Linked DNA regions of Anolis sagrei. The protein of the gene in region 3 purifies or fractionates together with the protein of the main gene of each other region. This does not show direct contact. Links are inferred from orthologs where the notes say so. Each region holds a gene or a part of one and is shown on either strand. Other genes may lie near its edges.

Region 1 (7,186 bases), on a different chromosome or scaffold from region 3:
AGTAGAGGCAAAGATGAAGTACTTTGGCCACATCATGAGAAGACAGGAAAGCTTAGAGAAGACAATTATGCTGGGGAAAATGGAAGGAAAAAGAAAGAGGGGCCGACCAAGGGCAAGATGGATGGATGGTATCCTTGAAGTGACTGGATTGACCTTGAAGGAGCTGGGGGTGGTGACGGCCGACAGAGAGCTCTGGCGTGGGCTGGTCCATGAGGTCACGAAGAGTCGGAAACGACTGAATGAACAACAACAAATCACTACTATTTTATTATTTAAAACATTTATATTCTGCCCTTCTCACCCAAAAGGGGACTCAGGGCGGAGCACAGCATATACATGGCAAACATTCAATGCCGGGACACAAATTCACATACAATACATAAACATTAAAAAACATTTATCAAAATATTAAAATACTCCATTTAAAACAGTCCTAGTCATCCGCATCAAATCTAATTGGCCTGGTCATATTTCCTATTGCCACTTTATTGCCCTGTCCCAAAAGCTTGGTCCCACAGCCAAGTTTTTACCATCTTTCTAAAGGACAGGATGGAGGGGGCCGACCTGATCTCACCAGGAAGGGAGTTCCATAGCCGGGGAGCAATCACCAAGAAGGCCCTGTCTCTTGTCCCCACCAATCATGCCTGTGACAATGGCGGGACGAAAAGCAGGGATTCCCCGGAGGATCTTAATCTCCACGATGGTTCATAGGGGGAGATGCGTTCGGACAGGTAAATTGGGCTGGGGCCGTTTAGGGCTTTATAGGCCAAAGTCAGCACTTTGAAATGTGCTCTGTAGCAAACTGGCAGCCAGTGGAGCTGGCATAACATGGGAGTTGTATGCTCCCTGTATGTCGCCCCAGTTATTAACCTGGCTGCCTCTCGTTGGACTATTTGAAGCTTCCGAGTAGTCTTCAAAGGCAACCCCACATAGAGTGCATTGCAATAGTTTATCCTAGACGTAACAAGAGCATGGACCACTGTGGCCAGTTTGACTTCCCAAAGTATGGGCGCAGCTGGCGCACAAGTTTTAATTGTACTATACTATACTATACTGTACTATACTGTGTGTGTGTGTGTGTGTGTATGCATATATATATATATATTACTATAATATTTATTTATTTATTTACATAATTTCTACCCCGCCCTTCTCACCCCCAAGGGGGGACTCAGGGCGGCTAACACAGGTAACAATTCAATGTCAACAATATCAATAACAACAATATAAACCAACAATATAAAATCCTATTATGTAACAATTAAACAGTGATATTAATTAAAATCACATAATCACATAGAACAAATCACATAATCACAGGTCATATAGCCGTTTCCAATTTTCATAACAATCCTATTGTCCAACTTCAGTGCCTAAAGTGCTGCTGTGCCCACTAGCCAAAGGCCTGGCTCCAACACCACGTCTTTAGTTTTTTCCCCTAAAATTAAGGCGGGAGGACGGCGATCTAATCTGGGAGAGCTGGGGAGCGAAATTCCACAAGCGGGGGGTCACTACCGAGAAGACCCTGTCCCTCGTCCCCACCGGACGCGTTTGAGACGCTGGTGGGACCGAGAACAGGGCCTCCCCAGTAGATCTTAAAGTATGAGGTGGAACGTAGAGAGAGATACATCCGGATAAGTAAGCTGGGCTGGAACAGTATAGGGTTTTATAGGCCAAGACCAGCACTTTGAATTGTGCTCGGAGGTAGATCGGCAGCCAGTGGAGCTGATGCAGCAGGGGGTGGTATGCTCCCTGTATATATAATTATAATATCATATTAGTAGTAGTATTATATTGCATCACATTATAATATTATAAATATTATATGTATATACATTATGTGTACAGAGGAGGGTGACTAAAATGATTAAGGGTCTGGAGAACAAGCCGTATGAGGCACGGCTTAAGGAGCTGGGCATGTTTAGCCTGAAGAAAAGAAGGCTGAGAGGAGATATGATAGCCATGTATAAATATGTGAGAGGAAGCCACAGGGAGGAGGGAGCAAGCTTGTTTTCTGCTTCCTTGGAGACTAGAACGCGGAACAATGGCTTCAAACTACAAGATAGGAGATTCCATCTGAACATGAGGAAGAACTTCCTGACCGTGAGAGCCATTCGGCAGTGGAACTCTCTGCCCCGGAGTGTGGTGGAGGCTCCTTCTTTGGAAGCTTTTAAACAGAGGCTGAATGGCCATCTGTCAGGGGTGATTTGAATGCAATATTCCTGCTTCTTGGCAGGGGGTTGGACTGGATGTGTAACATGCACAGATATCTATAAAAACAATTACAAAAACTCTAGATTGCAAATCACAATTTCAATGTTCCCAGAATTTCTACATTGAATGTAACATGAGAACATTCACACAATTATCTGTATGTTGCTGTGTTTCTTATTTAGTGAATTAAAACATCATAACACCTGATGAAGATATTGCGAAACAAGGGAAACAACCCGGGAGACCTTGTTGTGTGTCACTGTCACTGATGTTTATGGAAGAAGATCTTTCGACAACATAGAAAGTGTTATTTTGTGCCACTGTGCCTGACATTGTTTAACTGTTATTTTGGAAGCTCTAGTTTCACTGTATTGACAAAGTATTGATAAACCGTGTGTCACATCAGAGTTGTTTATGGAAGAAGAACTTTCGACAACATAGAAAGTCAGTTCTTGTGGGTTTTTTCGGGCTATATGGCCATGTTCTAGAGGCATTTCTCCTGACGTTTCGCCTGCATCTATGGCAAGCATCCTCAGAGGTGAGGTGCTTGCCATAGATGCAGGCGAAACGTCAGAAGAAATGCCTCTAGAACATGGCCATATAGCCCGAAAAAACCCACAAGAACTGAGTGATTCCAGCCATGAAAGCCTTCGACAACATAGAAAGTGTTATTTTGTGTCACTGTGCCTGACATTGTTTAATTGTTATTTTGGAAGCTCTAGTTTCACTGTGTTGACAAAGTATTGAAAATTATCTTCTATTTATAAACAGTCTTTAATTAATTGTGTGAATGTTCTCATGTTACATTCAATGTAAAAATTCTGGGAACATAGAAATTGTGATTTGCAATCTATAGTTTTTGTAATGGGTGGACTGGATGGCCCAGGAGGTCTCTTGCAACTCTTTTCAGTGGTTCTCAACCTGGGGTCCCCAGATGTTTTGGCCTTCAACTCCCAGAAATAGTAACAGCTGGTAAACTGGCTGGGATTTCTGCGAGTTGTAGGCCAAAACACTTGGGGACCCACAGGTTGAGAACCACTGCATGATTATATTATATTATATTACATTATACCACTGAGCCTTGGCAAGATAAGTGGTGCATTAATTCTACAGCAGGCATGGGCAAACTTCCGCCCTCCAAGTGTTCGGCTGTTGGGAATTGTAGTTCAAAACACTTGGAAGGGCGAAGTTTGCCCATGCTTGTTGTACAGCAGGGGTCCTCAAACTAAGGCCCGGGGGCCGGATATGGCCCTCCAAGGTCTTTTACCCGGCCCTCGCTCAGGGTCAACTTAAGTCTGAAATGACTTGAAAGCACACAACAACAACAACAATCCTATTCATCAGCCAAAAGCAGGCCCACACTTCCTATTGAAATACTAATAAGTTTATATTTGTTAAAATTGTTCTTCAATTTTAATTACTGTATTGTTTTTAAGTGGTTTTGCACCACAAATAAGATATGTGCAGTGTGCATAGGAATTAATTTTTTTTTTCAAATTATAATCCGGCCCTCCAACAGTTTGAGGGACTATGACCTGGCCCTCTGTTTAAAAAGTTTGGGGACCCCTGTTGTACAGGGTGAAATCCAGCTTCAAAGACATTCTTTCTCGTTAGATCCCGGCGCTAGGACCCAGGGGAACACTGCGTACAGCCGACCCAGGCTGCTTGTAACGGTGTGGTTGTGGGCGGAAGTAGGTCCGGCTGGCGTGTGGAGGAAGGGGGAGGTTGGACTTAGTGCGCGTGTGCGGAGGCTCGCGAGCACTGAGGCGAGTACGGGAGCCTAGAGGAGGATGGCTTTGGAGTGAGGGGAGGAGGAGGAGGCTGCTGCGCGTGCGGGGCGCGCAGTTTGGGCGGTTGGAGGCAGGGCGGAGTCCTGGTCGGCCTCTCTCTCTCTCTCTCTCTCTCTCTCTCTCTCTCTCTCTCTCCCCAGCTGCTGGGAGGAGGCGAAGGCGGAGGCGGCGCCGCCTTCCTTCCCTTCCTTACTTCCTTCCCTTCCTTGCCTTCTTCCTCCGGCGGGACTCTGCCCCTCCGGCTCCCCTCGACGTTGTGATTGGGCAGAAGATGGCGCCGCGCGGATGGAAATCCTAATGACAGTCTCCAAAATCGCCTCCATCTGTACCATGGTGAGCCTGGCCCGAGGGGGTCTTCGGGGGGAGCCTCCCTTCTTCCCCTCCCTTCGCCTCAGGAAGGCTGCTGTTGCTGAGGGGAGGCCCAGGAGGAGAGGGAGAAGGGCGGGCCAAAGCGGTGCCCAAACTGGACGCGAAAGTGGTGTCAAACTGCATTAAATCTACAGTGCAGATGCAGTTTGACACCACTTTCACTGCTTTGGGATCCGGGAAGTTGTCGTTTGGTGAGGCAGAAAAGGTTAAACAAATGATAATATTAATAATATGATAAAATAATAATAATATGACCTCTCTGCCTCTGAGGAGGCTTGCCATAGATGGAGGCAAAACGTCAGGAGAGAATGCCTCTAGAACATGGCCATATAGCCCAAAAAAACCTACAACAACCCAGTGATTCCGGCCATGAAAGCCTTCGACAATACAAATAATAATACTTATTTATTTACTAGCCGTCCCCTGCCATGCGTTGCTGTGGCCCAGTCTGTGTATATGTGTTTTGTGTATATATGTGTTTATACGTGTGTATATATTTGTGTATCTGTGTATATATGTGTTTTTGCATGTGTATATGTGTGTGTGAGTGTGGGTATGTATATGTATGTGCATATGTGTAGATGTGTATATATGTGTGTATATATATATGTGTGTGCTTGTCTATATGCATATTTGTGTGTGTGTGTACGTGTTGCTGTGGCCCAGTCTGTGCATATGTGTTTTGTGTATGTGTTTATACGTGTGTATCTGTGTATATATGTGTTTTTGCATGTGTATATGTGTGTGTCTATGTGGGTGTGTGTATATATGTGGGTGTAGATGTGTATATATGTGTGTATATAGTTGTGTGCTTATATGTGTATGTATATTGTGTATATGTGTGTGCTTGTCTATTTGCATATTTGTGTGTATATATGTATGTGTGAATGTATGTGTGCATATGTGTGTGTGTGTGTGTAGATGTGTATATATGTGTGTATATATTTGTGTGCTTATATGTGTATGTATATTGTATATATGTGTGTGCTTATCTATATGCATATTTGTATATATATACATATGTGTGTGTGCATGTGTATATGTATATATGTGTGCGTATTTGTGTCTGCTTGGGTATAAATAATAATAATAAGAAGAAGAAGAATAAATTTTATTTCTACCCCGCCACCATCTCCCCGATGGGGATGCGGAGCGGCTTACATGGGGCCAAGCCCGGACAATGTAATACAGCAATAAAATCAAAACATATACAACTGACAACAACATTATCAAAATGACATTAAAAATAATAAAATAATAAAATAAAAATTCCAATAGACACAATCACGATAGAGATGACAATGGGTGGGCCACATATTCCAAATAAAAAACAATTAACAGACTATGATGAGATAAAATAGGAGCAGGACGTTTAAATATACGTGTGTGTGTATGTATATATGTGTATGTAGATGTGTGTGTGTGCGCATTTGTGTCTGCTTGGGTATAAATATGCGTAGGTGTATGTATGTGCACATGTGTATATGTATATGAGTGTATAATAATAATAAACCTTTATTTGTACCCCGCTACCATCTCCCGAAGGACTTGGTGCGGCTTACACGAGGCCAAGCCCAAAATACAAAAATAAAACAACAATAATACAGCAAAATAAAACAAAAACAAGCAATAACATTAACAACACGCAATGATGCAGTTAAAAACAATGGCCGGGAACCATTGTATGTACATATATGTGTGTGTGATGTATTTGGGGGGGGGGGGGGTTAAGCCCATTCAGCTGGGTTTTTTTGTGTGTTTTTAGGGGTGATGAAGACTTGTTAGACAGTTAGGTGTATTGTGTCAAAATTTCATGTCAATTCGTCAAGTGGTTTCTGAGTTATGCTAATCCCACAAACGAACATTACATTTTTATTTACTTACTTACTGTATTTTCACCCCGCTCTATCTCAACCCTGAAGGGGACTCAGAGCGGCTCCCAAATTTGCAATATTTTAATGCCACAATAACATAAAAACATACAAGTTATATATATTGAGCATGAAAATCATGAAAATCATAAAATGCTAACACAATTGTGCTAGCAAGCACAATTCAAAGTACTGGCTTTAGCCTATAAAGTCCCTAAATGGTTCCAGCCTAGATTACCTAACCAAACGTATATCTCCCTATGAACCATCTAGGAGTTTAAGATCATCTGGGGAGGCCCTGCTCTCAGTCCCACCTTCTTCACAGGTGTGACTGGCAGGGACAAGAGACAGGGCCTTTTCATTAGTGGCCCCTCAGCTGTGGAATTCCCTCCCTAGGAATATTAGATTAGCCCCTTCCCTCCTGACCTTCCACAGAAAAGTGAAAACATGGCTTTTTGAATAAGCCTTTGGGAATCTAGTGCAATAGATAAACGTGGAACTATGTGAAATCGAATACTGGAACGGCTTAGATAACGTTTTTGGACGACGAGGCTAATAATGAAGGTAGTGGTTTTATATGTTTTTAAAGGTTTTAACGTATGTATTTTATAATTCTGTTTTAAATGTTTATTGTAATTTTTACATTGTTTTAATGGCATTGAATAGCTGCCTTTGTTATAAAGCTGCCTTGAGCCACCATCAGGTTCGAGAAAGGCGGGGAAGAAATATCGTAAATAAATAAACAAACAAACATATAAATACATTAAATATAGTAAGCTGTTAAAACAGTACATATAGACCCGGAATCATAATCCAGAAGCCATTCCAATCACATTGCATTCACTTCATAGCTGCATATAGCCCTGTACTACTCTCCAAATGCTTGATTCCATAGCTAAGTTTTAACTTGCTTTCTAAAGGACAGGACGAAGGGGGTCAATC
Region 2 (7,332 bases), on a different chromosome or scaffold from region 3:
ATGAAACACAGTTTGGGAACCTCTGCTCTACAATGTTAAAGAACTTTCTTAAAACCTTAACTTAACCACCTGCTTCGCCATATGCTTGGGTGCACAGAAACATTTTAACTGCTTTTTGAAGGGGGCAACGAGAGGGCCATTTTGATTTCCTTCAGAAGGGAATTCCAGAAGTAGGGGGCAAATGCAGAGAAAGCCCTCTCTCTTGTACCCAACAGCCGGATTTGAGGCAGGAGCGCCTCCCCTGATCGCAGTGTCTGGACAGGTTTGTATAAAGAGAGGTGGTTGGCCAAACACTCTGGACCCAAATAATTTAGGGCTTTAAAAGTAACAACCAGTATTTTAAATTTCACCCAGTAGCAAACTGGGAGCCAGTGGAGCTGCTGCAGCAAGCAAGTTGTTTGCTCCCTGTACAGTGCTCCGGTTAGTAACCTAGCAGCCGACCTTTGCAGCAGCTGAAGCTTCTGAGCACTCTTCAAAGGCAGCCCCACATAAAGCGCGTTGCAGTAGTTCAGTCAAGATGTAGCTAGGGAATACACTACCATGGCCAAATCTGGCGTCTCAAGGTACGTGCGCAGCTGGCACACAAGTTTTAATTGTGCAAAGGTGCTCCTGGCCACTGATGACACCTGGGGCACCCCCACGCTGTGTACCTTGCCTCAAGGGGGAGTGTAACCCCATCCAGCACAGGCTGTATCCCTATACCCTGAGCTGCCTTGCAACTGACCAAAAGCACCTCTGTCTTGTCAGGATTTAATTCTAATCTATTCACCCTCATCCAGTCTATTACAGTATATAGGTACCAGTTCAGGATGAGAACAGGATTCTTGGCTGGTTTTAAACAATATCTATATATAAATGTTGTTTTTAAAGGACTAAATAGTCTTGTAAACTGGTTATTTATTTATGTTTACATTATTATGCTATTTTGTTTTTAATAAGTGATATGTGATGATATGTGATTATTGCCTATGTTATATCATTGACTGTATTTGTTTGTTCTTACTGTAAGTCGCCTTAAGTCTCTTCGGCACAAGGGGGCAGGATATAAAAATATTATTTTGGTGGAAAGGGGTAATGAAGTTGGGTATCATCTGCATTAACTCCAAAACTCTGGATGATCTCTCCCAGTGATTTCATGTAGATATTAAATAGCATGGGTGACAGAATACCTGAAAGCAATGGATTCAAATAATCAGAAAGAAAATTCCAAGGAAACATTGGGGACCCTTCTACACAGCCATATAACCCAGAATATCAAGGCAGAAAATCCCACAATAGCTGCTTTGAATTGGGTTATCTAAGTCCACACTGCCATATATTCCAGCCCAAAGCAGGTATTTTGGGATTTCCTGCCTTGATATTCTGCATTACATGGCTGTGTAGATGGGCCCTGAGTCCACACTGTCATATATTTCAGTTCAATGCTGGTGTGGGATTTTATACAGCTGTGTGGAGGGGAATAAAAATGCGGATAGTGGGAATTGTTTTGACTATGGAATATGCTGCCGCCTCCAAGACAGTAGTCTCCTTCCTTGGAGGCTTTGAAGCACAGGCTGGGTGGCCATCTATTTATTTATTTACGACATTTATATGCCGCCCTTCTCACCCTGAAGGGGACTCAGAGTGGCTTACTATATACATACATTATATTATTACCATAGTACAATATCAGTGTTATATATTACTATATTACACTTACCCTATAATCCTTACATATCACCTGTCACATCAGCACTTGGTGTATTGTTTATTGCTTGTTGTTTAATTTTGCTTTAACTGCTTTAATTTTTTAAATTGCTTTAGGTTGTGTATTGTTATGTTGTGTTTGAGGCCTTGGCCTTTGTAAGCCGCATCGGGTCCTTCGGGAGATGCTAGCGGGGTACAAATAAAGGTAATAATAATAATAATAATATATTGATGTATTTTGTTATTGTGTGTTTATTATGCTGTATTATTTTGGGCTTGGCCTCATGTTAGCCGCCCCGAGTACCCTTTGGAGAGATGGTGGCGGGTTATGAATAAAGTGTATTATTATTATTATTATTATTACATTGTACTATACCATTATATTGTAATATTATTTGTAATATTACATGCAATAGAAAATATATAATTATAATATATTATTATTAGTATTATACTGTATTACATTATAATATTATAAATATTATATGTATATACAATATTCATCTATCATGGATGGTTTGTACTTTTCCTGTATGGCAGGGGGTTTGGTCTGGATGGCCCTTGGGGTCTCTTCCAACTTTATGATTCTACACACTATGGACCCTTCCACAGAGTCCTATATCCCAAAATATCAAGGCAAAAAATCCCACAATATCTGCTTTGAACTGGGTTAACAGAATCCACACTGCCATATATTCCAGTTCAAAGGAGATAATGTGGGGTTTTCTGCCTTGACATTCTGGGATATGGGGCTGTGTGGAAGGGCCCTCCAATATAGGAACAGCTATCCCACATCTGGTGAACTGAGCTTTTGTTCAGGAAATGTCAGGCCGTGAGGGAAGCGGGAAGTCGCCACTGTACTACATGATTCTGTTTCGGGAGAGATATAGTTTTGGCCAGCTGAGAGGGAAAACAAACCAAAAAGCAGGGAGACCCGTGTGGCAAGAATGGAAGCTCCCCTTCCTACCTGCACGGCGCCCGCGGGGTCTTTCTCGACGTCGCACTCCGTCAGCCTGCGGAGAAAAGCGAGAGTTAGGCCCGAACGCGGAGGAGGAGCGGGGTGAAGGGGTGGGGGGTTGAGGGCTCACCACGAGACTCCCATTCCTGCCGCCTCCGCCATCATGGCCCCGCCGAGGAAACTTCTAGAGCGCGAAGATTTTGTTTCTTTCCGCTGTCGCGCGCGCCCTGTGACGTTGGAAAAGGCGGTGCCGGCGCGGCCTTTATACGTCAGCAAGAGTCCTCTCGCGGAGGGCGGCGGAGGAGTCAACATTCGATGGGGGGCGGAGCCTCCACGGCAGAGGGCCCGCCTCCCGGCGTCAATCATCTTCCAAAACAAGAGGGAAGTTCAATGTACTGTATTGTCGAAGGCTTTCATGGCTGGAATCACTAGGTTCTTGTGGGTTTCTTCGGGCTATAGGGCCATGTTCTAGAGGCATTTCTCCTGACGTTTCGCCTGCATCTATGGCAAGCATCCTCAGAGGCAGTGAGGTCTGTTGGAATTAGGACAATGGGTTTATATATCTGTGGAATGGCTGGGGTGGGGCACAGAGCTCTCTGCTAACAGGTTGCTAACAGGTTGCTAACAGGAGCGGCACTCAGGGAGCATACTACTCTCTTGCACCAGCTCCACTGGCTGCCAGTTTGCAACCGGGCACAATTCAAAGTGCTGGCGTTAGCCTATAAAGCCCTAAACGGTTCTGGCACTACTTACCTCTCCAAACGCATCTCCTCCTATGAACCAACTAAGACATTAAGATCATCTGGGAGTATTTCCAGGTGGAATGCTCTAAGGATCAGAAGGTAGAACTGTTGCTTTCTTTTTCTGACTCTATAGTGGATTTTCCAGTGCAGGAAAATAAAGATGAAACAGGAGTGAAGTAATGAGGAAAAAGTACAAACAGAGGGGTGTATCTTCTGAAATCCCCTTAAATTTCTATGAACGACACATCGTAATCGTGAAACCATTAATAATCCATCAAAGGAAGGCAATACAGAATAGCTGAAGAAATGTTCAAAAGTTGTTGACACTACACAGTTAATAGCACTGTGATTTTATTTGAACAACCATGTTTCCCTCCTATGGATTTATGGGATTTGTAGTGTACAGGAGGGCATTTTCAATTCTCACCAGAATGCTCCAGACTTCAAAGCCCATGATTCCATAGGATGTTACCATGACAATTAAGGTGGAATATAGAACTTGCACTGCATAGTATGAATTAGGCCCTAAATGTTGCCTCCAGCCTGTGGAGATCTTAACAGTGGGTTTATGGTGAGATTAGGTGAGCCCCCACCTTAGAGAGTTTTAAGAAAAATCTCAAAACCTGGCTCTTCCACTGTGATTTTGGAGATTAACCATTAACTCATATGCCCATTAACCCTCAATATCCATTTTTAGTGCATATGAAGGTCCTTTTCGACCCCATCTTGGAAGAGTTCCTCCCTCATAAAAATAATCCACTCCACTGCTGTCTCACCTCCTGTTTTTTATCCTTAATATTTTATTCAGGACATGCGGCCCACTCATTGTTTTATGAATGATTTTATTGTAATTTTATATAGTTATGTTTTATGTTAATCATTGTGTTCTTGTTTATGTTTTTGATTTCATTTATTTTATTGCATTGGTGGGCTTGGCCTCATGTAAGCTGCCCCGAGTCCCCATTGGAGAGATGGTGGCAGGGAATAAATAAAGTTTATTATCATGATTTATTATTGCTATTTCAATTGTTGTGTGTGATAGAAGTAACTATTTCCATTTTCAGTTCGTTTCAAAATGTTAAAGGAGCAGCAAAGAAAACTTGTTGCTCTATCTTGGCACTGATTTAGGGAAATCCTAAATTAGGGACAGGACAACGATTATGTTGTCCAGTTACAATTATGCTGTATTTTCTCCATTGGCGGCTATCACATACACTGAAGACAGAACAAAGGTCTTCGGTGAGGAGAGTCCAGGTCTCTTGAGTTGTGCTACAAATGTCAACAAAATAAAGAGGTGTGCTCTGTTTCTCCATTTTCTGTAAGTATAGAAAGCAAGATGTCACATTCCTCAAGACCACTTCCTCTCTTCTGTAAAACTTGCTCACACGCAATCTGATAAAAGGCAGGTGCTGAAGTTCGTTCATACATGTGATAGCGGGAAGGATCCACAGGGCCAGTGTGAAAGAGAAGAATTACAGTTATGCTGTTGTCTGTAACTAGTTTCCTTGTAGGTAATGGGTGTAAACAAGACACATTTCGCAAGTAATCTAACTTACATGAACCAAGTAGTCCCTATATAAGAATCAAGTTCCCTTTCCGGTTGAATGAGTAACAATTTCTACTTAATTTCAAGTGTTACTTGTAAAGGGCTATTTTAGGCATTTCTCAGGAATCTTTCCAGCGTTACCCCATTCTCTTATCAATTCTAAGTGTTTCCCCTGAAAAACGGCACACGTTAAAGTAGTAATGGGTAGGAATACAAACTAACATCCTCATCATCCATCTCCTACACTAGTTGTTTTCATCATTAAAACAAGTTTTTGCCACATGTTACCTTTAAAACACAGTAAGACAAGATAAAGATTTCCCCTGACATGTCTAGTCATGTCTGACTCTGGGGAGTGGAGCTCATCTCCATTTCTAAGCCAAAGAGCGGGCATTGTCTGCAGACATCTCCAAGGTCATGTGGCCAGCATGACTGCATGGAGTGCCATTACTTTCCTGCAGAAGCGGTACCTATTGATCTACTCACATTTGCATGTTTTCGAACTACTAGTTTGGCAGAAGCTGGGGCTGATAGCAGAAGCTCACCCCATTCCCCGGATTTGAATCGCCAACTTTTCCGTCAGCAAGTTCAGCAGCTCAGCGGTTTAACTCGCTGCGTCACCAGGGGGCCCGAGAGTAAGACATAATTATTATTTTTAAAATGCTTCTAAAGCTTTACGCAGAACAACTAAAAGCAGAGATTGTGTCTAGCTGTGCTGCCAATCCTGGATTCTCAACTGTAGTTGTGAATCTTGGTTTTGGCTGATAAAATTCAGATTAAAGGTCAATAGACTTTCATTTTTTAAAAATCTATATCAAGAATTAAGTGCAAGAGAAAAGGGTTCTAATCTAGTTTTCTATCCATAGTGCTTGTTTTTTTGTTTTTGTTTTCTACATGCAGGCAATTTCCTTCATACTGCATGCAAGGACATTCAGTCATGAGGGGCATCGATAGCATAGAAGAATACAGATCAGCTACAGCTTGCTTACTTTGTGAGAACCAGATCTCAGTACTTTTCCTATACAAACATCAAGCTTTTCAGTGATGTAAATTGTTTTGATTAAATTTATTTATGTGGTCATGAACATTTATTTATGTGGTCATGAACAATATTAATTATGGGAGGAAATATTCTCTCATTTACAGTTTTATTGAAACTCTGTGTATGCATCTGTATACATGTTTTTTATCATTTCAGAAGTAAATTGAGAATATATTGCAAGTCACTTCTGGTGTGAGAGAATCGGCTGCCTACAGAGATGTTGCCCACGGGACACCCGGATATGTTACCATCCTGTGGGAGGCTTCTCTCATGTCCCCACATGAGAAGCTGGGGCTGACAGACAGGAGCTCACCCCATCTCACTGATTCAAACCACTGACCTTCAGGTCAGCAGTTCAGCCGGCACAAAGATTTAATCCATTGCGCCACTACGGCTCCTTATACACATATATAAGAATGGCCATACAGATGCTGTTGGGAATACAACTCCCAGACCTAGCCAGTATAGACATGGGTGAGGAATTATGGGAATTGCAGCAGAACAGCACCTGCAGGGCCACATGATTCCTTCCCCAGATGTTTATGCCCATCACAGACAACTTATCAAAACTTTTCATACCTGTTTATCAACCCAAACTCAGAACTTACCAATAGAGAAATTCAAATATTCAGCTTAGACTCACAAAAGTGTGAATGCTCAAATGATAGCAACCAGTTACACACACCAAAAACAGCACATAATTCATTGTAAAGGGTAGGGCTTTACATGCAGTTGAACATGTTCATTATTATTGCTACAGCTTATAAGACGTTCATATTAAAATTGATTGTCTTATGATTTTCTTTCTTCCCTGTGGAAATGAATCAATTCAGACAATGGTATACTGTTATTAGACCAAGTAGTGAGATTTATAAATGCATCACACTGTACAAACTGACACATCGCCATTGAAATGGGATTTTTCTTATCAAATTATTGTTGCACAGGCATCTTGCCAAAGCCATGATAAGCAGAAGGAAATTCACCATATCCAGTCTGCAAAAAGAATCCTGTTTCTCTTCTAATGAGCAACTAACATTTTAATTCAATTTGTGTTAAAAAAATATTACATGCACAGTTTAACTTGTAAGCAAAATTATACTCAGCTTCACAATTCATTGAGAGGAATGTTCCACAAATAATCAAAGGGTGCCAACCTGAGAAAACATGCGTAGCCCTGATCATTTTTATTTTACTTCTGGGCCACTTGCCACAAATAATTTGTGTAAAAGCTAGAAGCATATTAAAGCAAATCCCAGCAGCATCATTTTCACTTAGTGCACATGGTTGAAGAATGCAGACATGAAAAAAATAGCTAGTTGCTGACTTCAGCCCCAGCAAATATAGCTGCCTAAGA
Region 3 (7,876 bases):
TATAATCCAGATTTTTCAAAGCAGATAATCCACATCTACACTGCCATGGGAGCTCCCGGTGGCGCAGTAGGTTAAACCGCTGAGCTGCTGAAATTGCTGACAAAAAGGTTGGCGGTTCAAATCCGGGGAGCAGGGGGTGCTCCCCGCTGTTCGCACCAGCTTCTGCCAACCTAGCAGTTCAAAAACATGCAAATGTGAGGAGATCGATACCACTTCTGCGGAAAGGTACTGGTGCTCCATGCAGTCATGCCAGCCGCATGACCTTGGAAGTGTCTATGGATAGGGCCGGCTCTTCGGTTTAGAAATGGAAATGAGCACCACCCCCCAGAGTTGGACACGACTGGACTTAATGTCAGGGGAAAACCTTTACCTTTATGTCTGATATAATAGGCCATACAGCCAGGAAAACTCAGTGATTCCGGCCATGAAAGCCTTCGGCAATACATTATTATTATTTTACTGACACATAATAAAAATATTATTATCATCATTACTAATACTATTCAATACTTCCATATAATCCAGATAGTCTACACTGCCATAAAGTCCACATCAAGACTGCCATAGAATCTAGATTACCAAAGAAGATAATCCACATCAAGACTGACATAGAACCCAGATTACCAAAGCAGATAGTCCACATCTAGACTGACATAGAACCCAGACTGCCAACGAAGATAATGCACATCTAGACTGACAGAGAACCCAGATTACCACATCTAGACTGACAGAGAACCCAGACTACCAATGAAGATAATGCACATCTAGACTGACATAGAACCCAGATTACCAAAGCAGATAATCCACATCTAGACTGACATAGAACCCAGTCTACCAAAGATAATGCCCATCTAGACTGACACAGAACCCAGATTACCAAAACAGATAATCCACATCTAGACTGACACAGAACCCAGTCTACCAAAGATAATGCACATCTAGACTGCCATAGAACCCAGATTACCTAAGCAGATAATCCACATCTAGACTGACACAGAACCCAGACTATCAATGTAGATAATGCACATCTAGACTGACATAGAACCCAGATTACCAAAGAAGATAACCCACATCTAGACTGACATAGAACCCAGACTACCAAAGCAGATAGTCCACATCTAGAATGACACAGAACCCAGTCTACCTAAGATAATCCACTTCTAGACTGGCATAGAACCCAGTCTACCAAAGATAATGTGCATCTAGACTGACATAGAACCCAGACTACCAACAATGATAATGCACATCTAGACTGACATAGAACCCAGATTACCAAAGCAGATAATCCACATCTAGACTGACACAGAACCCAGATTACCAAAGATAATGCACATCTGGACTGACATAGAACCCAGTCTACCAAAGATAATGGACATCTAGACTGCCATAGAACCCAGATTACCAAAGCAGATAATGCACATCTACAGTGCCATAGAATCCAGTTCAAAGCAGATCACCTGGACTGTATATGGCAGTGCAGAAGGGGCCTGAGAAGCCACACACAGCACGAAGGCAGGGAGATTCAAAGGGAGGCGAGCAGGCACTACCCAATCCCTCCCGGCAGAGGGCCAGCCAGATCCCCCACCCACTCACCCACCTACCCACCCACTTAGCCGGCGAGCTACCTGCGTAGAAGCGGATGAGGCAGCCGGTCTCGGAGTCCATGCCCTCCTCCTGCGCGCGCCAGGGGTCGCGGAAGCCCAGCTGCGCGAGGTAGTCGCTTTGGAGGCGCAGGGGCTTCTCGGCGGGGGAAAGGCGCCTCGCGGTCTCCCCGTGGAGCTGGACGTAGAGGCCCAGGGGGGGCGGCGGCGGGGACGGAGGAGGAGGAAGAAGAGGAGGCGTTGCTGCTGAAGGCGAGGAAGCCGCGGCCTTAGTAGTCGTCGTCGTCGTAGTAGCAGGAGCAGCAGAGGGGGCGCCTTCTTCATCTTCTTCTTCCTCTCCTTCCTCCTCCATGGCCTCCTTCTTCTTCCGCCTCCTCCTCCTCCTCCTGGGCTCCTCGGCCTCCAAGTCCTCCAAGGAAGACGCCGAGGAGGAGGAAGAGGAAGAAGAGGAGGAGGAAAAGCCTTCTTCTTCTCCTCCTCCTCCTTCTTCTCCCTCGGCGCTAGGGCTGAAGCCCTCCGAGTCGGAGCCGCCGGCGAGGGACGGGCAGGAGATCGGCGGGCCCGACAGGTAGATGGAGGCCTTCCCCTCCTCCTCCTCTTCGTCTTCTCCTTCGAGATGGGCCTCCTCGGCTTCTCCTTGGCCCTCTTCTTGGCCCAAGACGCGGAGAGCCCCTCCTCCTGCCCTCCTCTGCTGCTGCTGCTGCAGCCTGGCTGCCACTTGCCCCGCGGTGGTCTCCAAGGTGCACAGCACCGGCAGCAGGTAGCAGTGGTGGTGGTGGTGGTGATGGTGGTGGTTGGAGTAGTAGACATGGACGCAGCCCCGGCGGAGGTCCCGCCGCACCCAGTCCCGCTCCGGCGCCTGCAGAGGCTGGACCTGCCGCGGGGGCTTCGGGAGAAGGAGAAGCGCCTTCCGGTCCAGGCTGCGCGAGGCCGGAGGAGCAGCCGGAGGAGGAGGAAGCAGCGAGGGCGAGGCGGCGGAGGAGAGGTTCCTCTTGAGGCGGCCTCGCCTCACCAGGAGCGAGTTGGCCCCGTTGGACGAAGCCAGGGAAGCCGAGGAGGCAGAAGAAGGAGTCGTCCCCGGCGTCCCCTTGGCGGCGGCAACGGCGGCCGCTCCCCCGCGCTTGCGTCGCCTCTGTTGGGCTCCTTCAAGGCCCATGGCGCTCCCGTCTCCTTCTGGTTGTTGCTGCTGCTGCTGCGCAGGTTCCATTAGGATGGGTTAGCGAACGTTCCGAAGAAAGGAGGCGAAGGGGAGGGATTAGGTCGCCATGGCGAACATTCCGCCGCTGTCTCCTCCGCGTTCCATCCGGCTCAGCCTCGCCGCGCGCGCCATTAGCCGCTGACTGGACTGGGCGGGAGAGGCAGGCAAGCGCGCGCCTCCGCCTCCTCCTCCGCTTCGCCTTCCCTTCCAAGGCCCCACCCACTAAGCCAAGCCTCTCCTCTCTTCCCCCTCCCTCCTCCCGCCTTATGAATATTCATAAAACCCTCTTCGCCTTTCCTTTTCAAGGCCCCACCCACCAAGCCTCTACTCTCCTCTCTTCCCCCCTCCTCTCGCCTTGCCTTATGAATATTCATAAAAACAGGATTTGCTTGCTCCTCCTCCGCTTCAGAACGTCATCGCCTCTTCGCTTCGCTTCCAAGGCCCCACCCACCAAGCCTCTACTCTCCTCTCTTCCTCCTCCCTCCTTATGAATATTCATAAATAGGAGGAGCTTGCTCCTCAGCTTCAGAACGTCATCGCCTCTTCGCTTCGCTTCCAAGGCCCCACCCACCAAACCTCAACTCTCCTCTCTTCCCCCCTCCTTCTGCCTTATGAATATTCATAAACAGGATTTGCTTGCTCCTCCTCCGCTTGAGAACGCCACCGCCTCCTCTTCGCCTTCCCTTCCAAGTCTCCACACACCAAGCCTCTACTCTCCCCCCCACCCACCTTATGAATATGCACTCCCCCTGAAGCCACAGGTCCGCAGTTTGGGAGTCCTCTTGGATTCATCGCTTACGCTTGAGGCTCAGGCCAGGCCCGTAGCCAGGATTTCCATTGGGGGGGGGGCGTTTGTTTGGGGGGGGGGGCTGAGTCTGAGTGAAAGAGGGTCTACCCTAGCAAATCTTTTGTATCATTACCCCAATACCCCCATGCATGTGGGATATATTGAGTATAGTGATCAGATCATGATATGAATAAACATAACAGTTTAAATAATGCACCAGTAAGGCCTTTTTGTGGACCATCATGAGAATTTCGGGGGGGGGGGGCTGAAGCCTGGCTCAGGCGTCGGCGGTGTCCGGGAGGGCTTTTGCACAATTGAGACTTGTGCGTCAACTGCGACCGTACCTCGCAAAGGCTGATCTGGCCAATGTGGTCCATGCCTTAGTCACCTCTAGATTGGACTACTGTAATGCGCTCTACATGGGGCTGCCCTTGAAAACGGCTCGGAAATTTCAACTGGTCCAACGGGCAGCGGCCAGGATGTTAACTGGTGCTCCCTACAGACAGAGGTCAACCCTCCTGTTCAAGGAGCTCCATTGGCTGCTGTTTATTTTCCGAGCGCATTTTAAGGTGCAGGTGCTTACCTACAAAGCCCTAAACGGTTTGGGACCATCCTACCTGCGTGACCACATCTCCGTTTATGAACCCACGTGCTCACTTCGTTCATCCGGAAAGGCCTTGCTCGCGATTCCGCCTGCGTCGCAGGCGCGTCAGGTGGGGATGCAAGACAGGGCCTTTTCTGTGGTGGCCCCCCGACTCTGGAACACCCTCCCCAAAGATCTTAGACAGGCCCCTACGTTGGCAGTCTTTAGGAAGAACTTGAAGACCTGACTGTTCCGATGTGCCTTTCCAGAATAGGAAAACTCCAACGACAAGTCCCAGAAGCACTGTAGTAGAAATTAAGATTGCTAGCACACTGCACTTACCCTATAATCCTTACATATCACCTGTCACATCAGCACTTTTAATCTGTACCCTTTACTCTGGCCCGGCCCAGTTTTATTGTGTCTTGGTGTATTGTTTTATTGCTTGTTGTTTATATTGCTTTAACTGTTTTTGATTTGCTTTAGGTTGTGTATTGTTATGTTATGTTTTGAGGCCTTGGGCTTTGTAAGCCGCATCGAGTCCTTCGGGAGATGCTAGCGGGGTACAAATAAAGTTAATAATAATAATAATAATAATAATAAACAGGATTTGCTTGCTCCTCCTCCTCCTCAAAACGCCACCGCCTCTTCGCTTTCCCTTTCAAGGCCCCACCCACCAAGCCTCTACTCTCCTCTCTTCCCCCCTCCTCCCGCCTTATGAATATTCATAAAACAGGATTGGCTTGCTCCTCCTCCGCTTTAGAACGCCGCTTCGCCTTCCCTTCCAAGGCCCCACCCACCAAGCCTCCACACTCTTCCTCCTTATGAACAGGATTTGCTTGCTCCTCCTCCTCTTCAGATCTACTCTGCCTCCTCTTCGCCTTCCCTTCCAAAGCCCCACCCACCAAGCCAAGGCTCTACTCTTCCCCCCTCCCGTCTTATGAATATTCATAACACAGGATTTGCTTGCTCCTCCTCTTTAGAACGCCTCCGCCTTCTCTTCCAAGGCCTCGCTCAACAAGCCGTTTCTCCTCTTCCCTTTCCCCTCCCCCTTATGAATATTCATGATCAGGATATGCTTGCTCCTCCTCCTCCTCTTTAGAACACCACCGCCTCTTCGCCTTCCCTTCCAAGCCTCCTCTTCCCCTCCCGCCTTATGAATATTCATAAACAGGATTGGCTTGCTCCTCCTCCTCTTCAGAACGACGCCGTCGCCTCTTCGCCATCCCTTCCAAGGTCCCGCCCACCAAGCCAAACCTCTCCTCTTTCCCCCTCCCTACTTATGAATATTCATGAGATTGTTTGCTCCTCTTTAGAACGCCGCCGCTTCTTCGCCTTCCCTTCCAAGGCCCCACCCACCAAGCCTCCTCCCCCCCCTTATGGCATATTGACATTGTCTTTTTTAAAAAATCCCCATATTCATAAGGCGCGGTGACGCCATCTCCTCGTGAAATGGGCTGAGGGATAAACAAAACGTGACCAAAGCGGAACAAAAAGGCATGCTGGGAAATGTAGTGCCCTGGCTTGGCTTTGGAATGAGGGCAGAGGCAAACGCGAACTGCATTTCCCGTCAGGCTTTGCTTCCTGTGAGAGAAAGCGCTCTTTTTCGTGGCGGCTCGGTTTCCCCGCCCCTTTTTTCAGAGCGCCACGCCCCCTGACGGTGCCGCGCGTGCCCTTGACTCTTGTCCGGAGAGGCCCCGCCCCCGCCGCCCAGGGCTTCTTCCCGCGCGCCCTGACGCTTCCTCGACTCTTGCAGGGAAAGGCGCCCAATAGGCCGCAATAGGGACGGGGCTGAATTCGCTCACGTCGCTGAATCTACAAGGCATGCAATTGAGGATACTGACTGTACTCTTACACGGAAATGCATGCCAGGCCGTAAGAATCAAACCTCCCCAGTGGATCTGAAGAGAGGTGGCCTTAGTAGGGGTGCGTGATCATGTGAAAATTTCATTACTGTAACGCGGGTCCGTTACTGTAATGCAATTCCGTTACTTTTTCGTTATAGTAATTGCACAAGTGGGGAAACTTTCTCCCTTGTTTTTACAGCGATCAGGGTGAAACATGCAACAATAGCAGAACACATAATAATAATAATAATAATAATAATAATAATAATAATAATAATAATTTTATTTATACTCTGCCACCATCTCCCCAAAGGGGACTCGGGGCGGGGTATACGACTCTTGGCCCATCAAGTTTCAGAACGTTTCACTCATCCACTGATTTTGGGGAACTTTCAAAGTTTGTCTAAACAATTACAAAAAAAATTACAAAAGTGATCTTGAATTTTCTACACAATGACAGAAGGTAACAGGGATCATTCCCCCCAACTTTCGGAAATATTCATACATCTGATTTTAGGGAATTTTTTTAATTTTTGACAAAAAATAATATTTTTTAAGTCCCAACAGCTATCTCATTGAATGTCTCTCATATGAACCAATAGAACTTTCATTTAGGGATTTCTTCCCAGCCCAGCACAGAGATTTACTTTCTAGAAGTATCAGTCAGTCCTCTTTGCAAATTCAACCATACATTCAAACTGGCTGGCTGCTGCTGTGGAGGGACAAATCTCTCCCCTCTCCTGATTGGGGCTTTCTGGTGCTGAGCAGAATTCTGGGAAATGTAGTTTAGGGCAGGGCCTTTTGAATTCTCTGGCATAAGGCTCCATCCCAAACTACATTTTCCAGAGTTCTGTGCTTTCTCAGTCTCTTTCCCAGCAAACTCTGCTTTCTCCCTGCTGCTTCCCTCTCCCAATGGCGGGGAGACCATTAATGTAAAGAGGAAAGGCAGCCTTTTTGGCTTTGCGTTGCTTCCTTGCACTGAAAATGAAACTGACTTCGGAAGGCTTCTGAGGTTTGCAAAATTCAAATGTAAAAGCATTGGGTAAGTTTAGATTCTTAAATTTTTAGCGCAAGCCATGCCCAAGTGTCGGATATCACCTCGTAGAAATGAATTTAATGAATTTGATTCAACTTACGATGACTAGCAAAAAAATTGTACACCCTAATATAATTTCTGGAAAACAGCTTGTTAGCTTTTCCTCCCTCTGTGCCCCGAAGCCCGAAAGCACTGGTCAGGATACACAAGTACATGTATTATAATCAAAAGTAAAAGAAAACCCTTATAATAAAATAAAATAATTATTACAGAATCATAGAGTTGGGAGAAACCACATCGGCCATCTAGTCCAACCCTCTGGTATGCAGGAAAAGCACAATCAAAGCACCCCTAACAGATGGCCATACAGCCTCTGTTTAAAATATTCCTAATAATAATAATAATAAACCTTTATTTGTACCCCGCTACCATCTCCCGAAGAACTCGGTGTGGCTTACATGAGGCCGAGCCCAAATACAACAGTAAAAACAATAACAACAACAGTAAAAACAACAGCAACAAAATAACTCAAAAAACAGAGCAATAACATTAACAACACACAATGACGCAATTAAAAACAATGGCAGGGCATCATAGATCTGTGTGCATCATTCGAAAATACATCGCACAGTCCTAGACGCTTGGGAAGTGTTCAACTTGTGATTTTTTGATATGAAATCCAGTATATAGATCTCGTTTGCTGTGACAAACTGTGCTTTTGTGTCAGTAAAATAATAATAATAATAATAGCATTATTATATTATTATATTATATTATATTATATTATATTATATTATATTATATTATATTATATTATTATCATT

Evidence for each region. The genes of interacting proteins can lie anywhere in the genome.
Region 1: the proteins of PHLPP1 (region 3) and USP12 purify together in Homo sapiens (affinity purification with mass spectrometry; 4 studies listed by BioGRID and IntAct, with this or other methods). This does not show direct contact. The link is inferred for Anolis sagrei from reciprocal best matches to the Homo sapiens genes PHLPP1 and USP12.
Region 2: the proteins of PHLPP1 (region 3) and SUGT1 purify together in Homo sapiens (affinity purification with mass spectrometry; 5 studies listed by BioGRID and IntAct, with this or other methods). This does not show direct contact. The link is inferred for Anolis sagrei from reciprocal best matches to the Homo sapiens genes PHLPP1 and SUGT1.

The regions. Positions count from the first base shown.
Region 1 is NC_090023.1:30,892,555-30,899,740, reverse strand, and holds the start of USP12 (ubiquitin carboxyl-terminal hydrolase 12), read left to right. Parts: upstream 1-4,169; 5' UTR 4,170-4,289; coding exon 4,290-4,337; intron 4,338-7,186. UniProt on the Homo sapiens protein: Deubiquitinating enzyme that plays various roles in the regulation of the immune response and inflammation.
Region 2 is NC_090023.1:141,080,238-141,087,569, forward strand, and holds the start of SUGT1 (protein SGT1 homolog), read right to left. Parts: upstream 3,018-7,332; 5' UTR 3,011-3,017; coding exon 2,775-3,010; intron 2,700-2,774; coding exon 2,654-2,699; intron 1-2,653. UniProt on the Homo sapiens protein: May play a role in ubiquitination and subsequent proteasomal degradation of target proteins.
Region 3 is NC_090024.1:89,984,058-89,991,933, forward strand, and holds the start of PHLPP1 (PH domain leucine-rich repeat-containing protein phosphatase 1), read right to left. Parts: upstream 3,002-7,876; 5' UTR 2,809-3,001; coding exon 1,626-2,808; intron 1-1,625. UniProt on the Homo sapiens protein: Protein phosphatase involved in regulation of Akt and PKC signaling.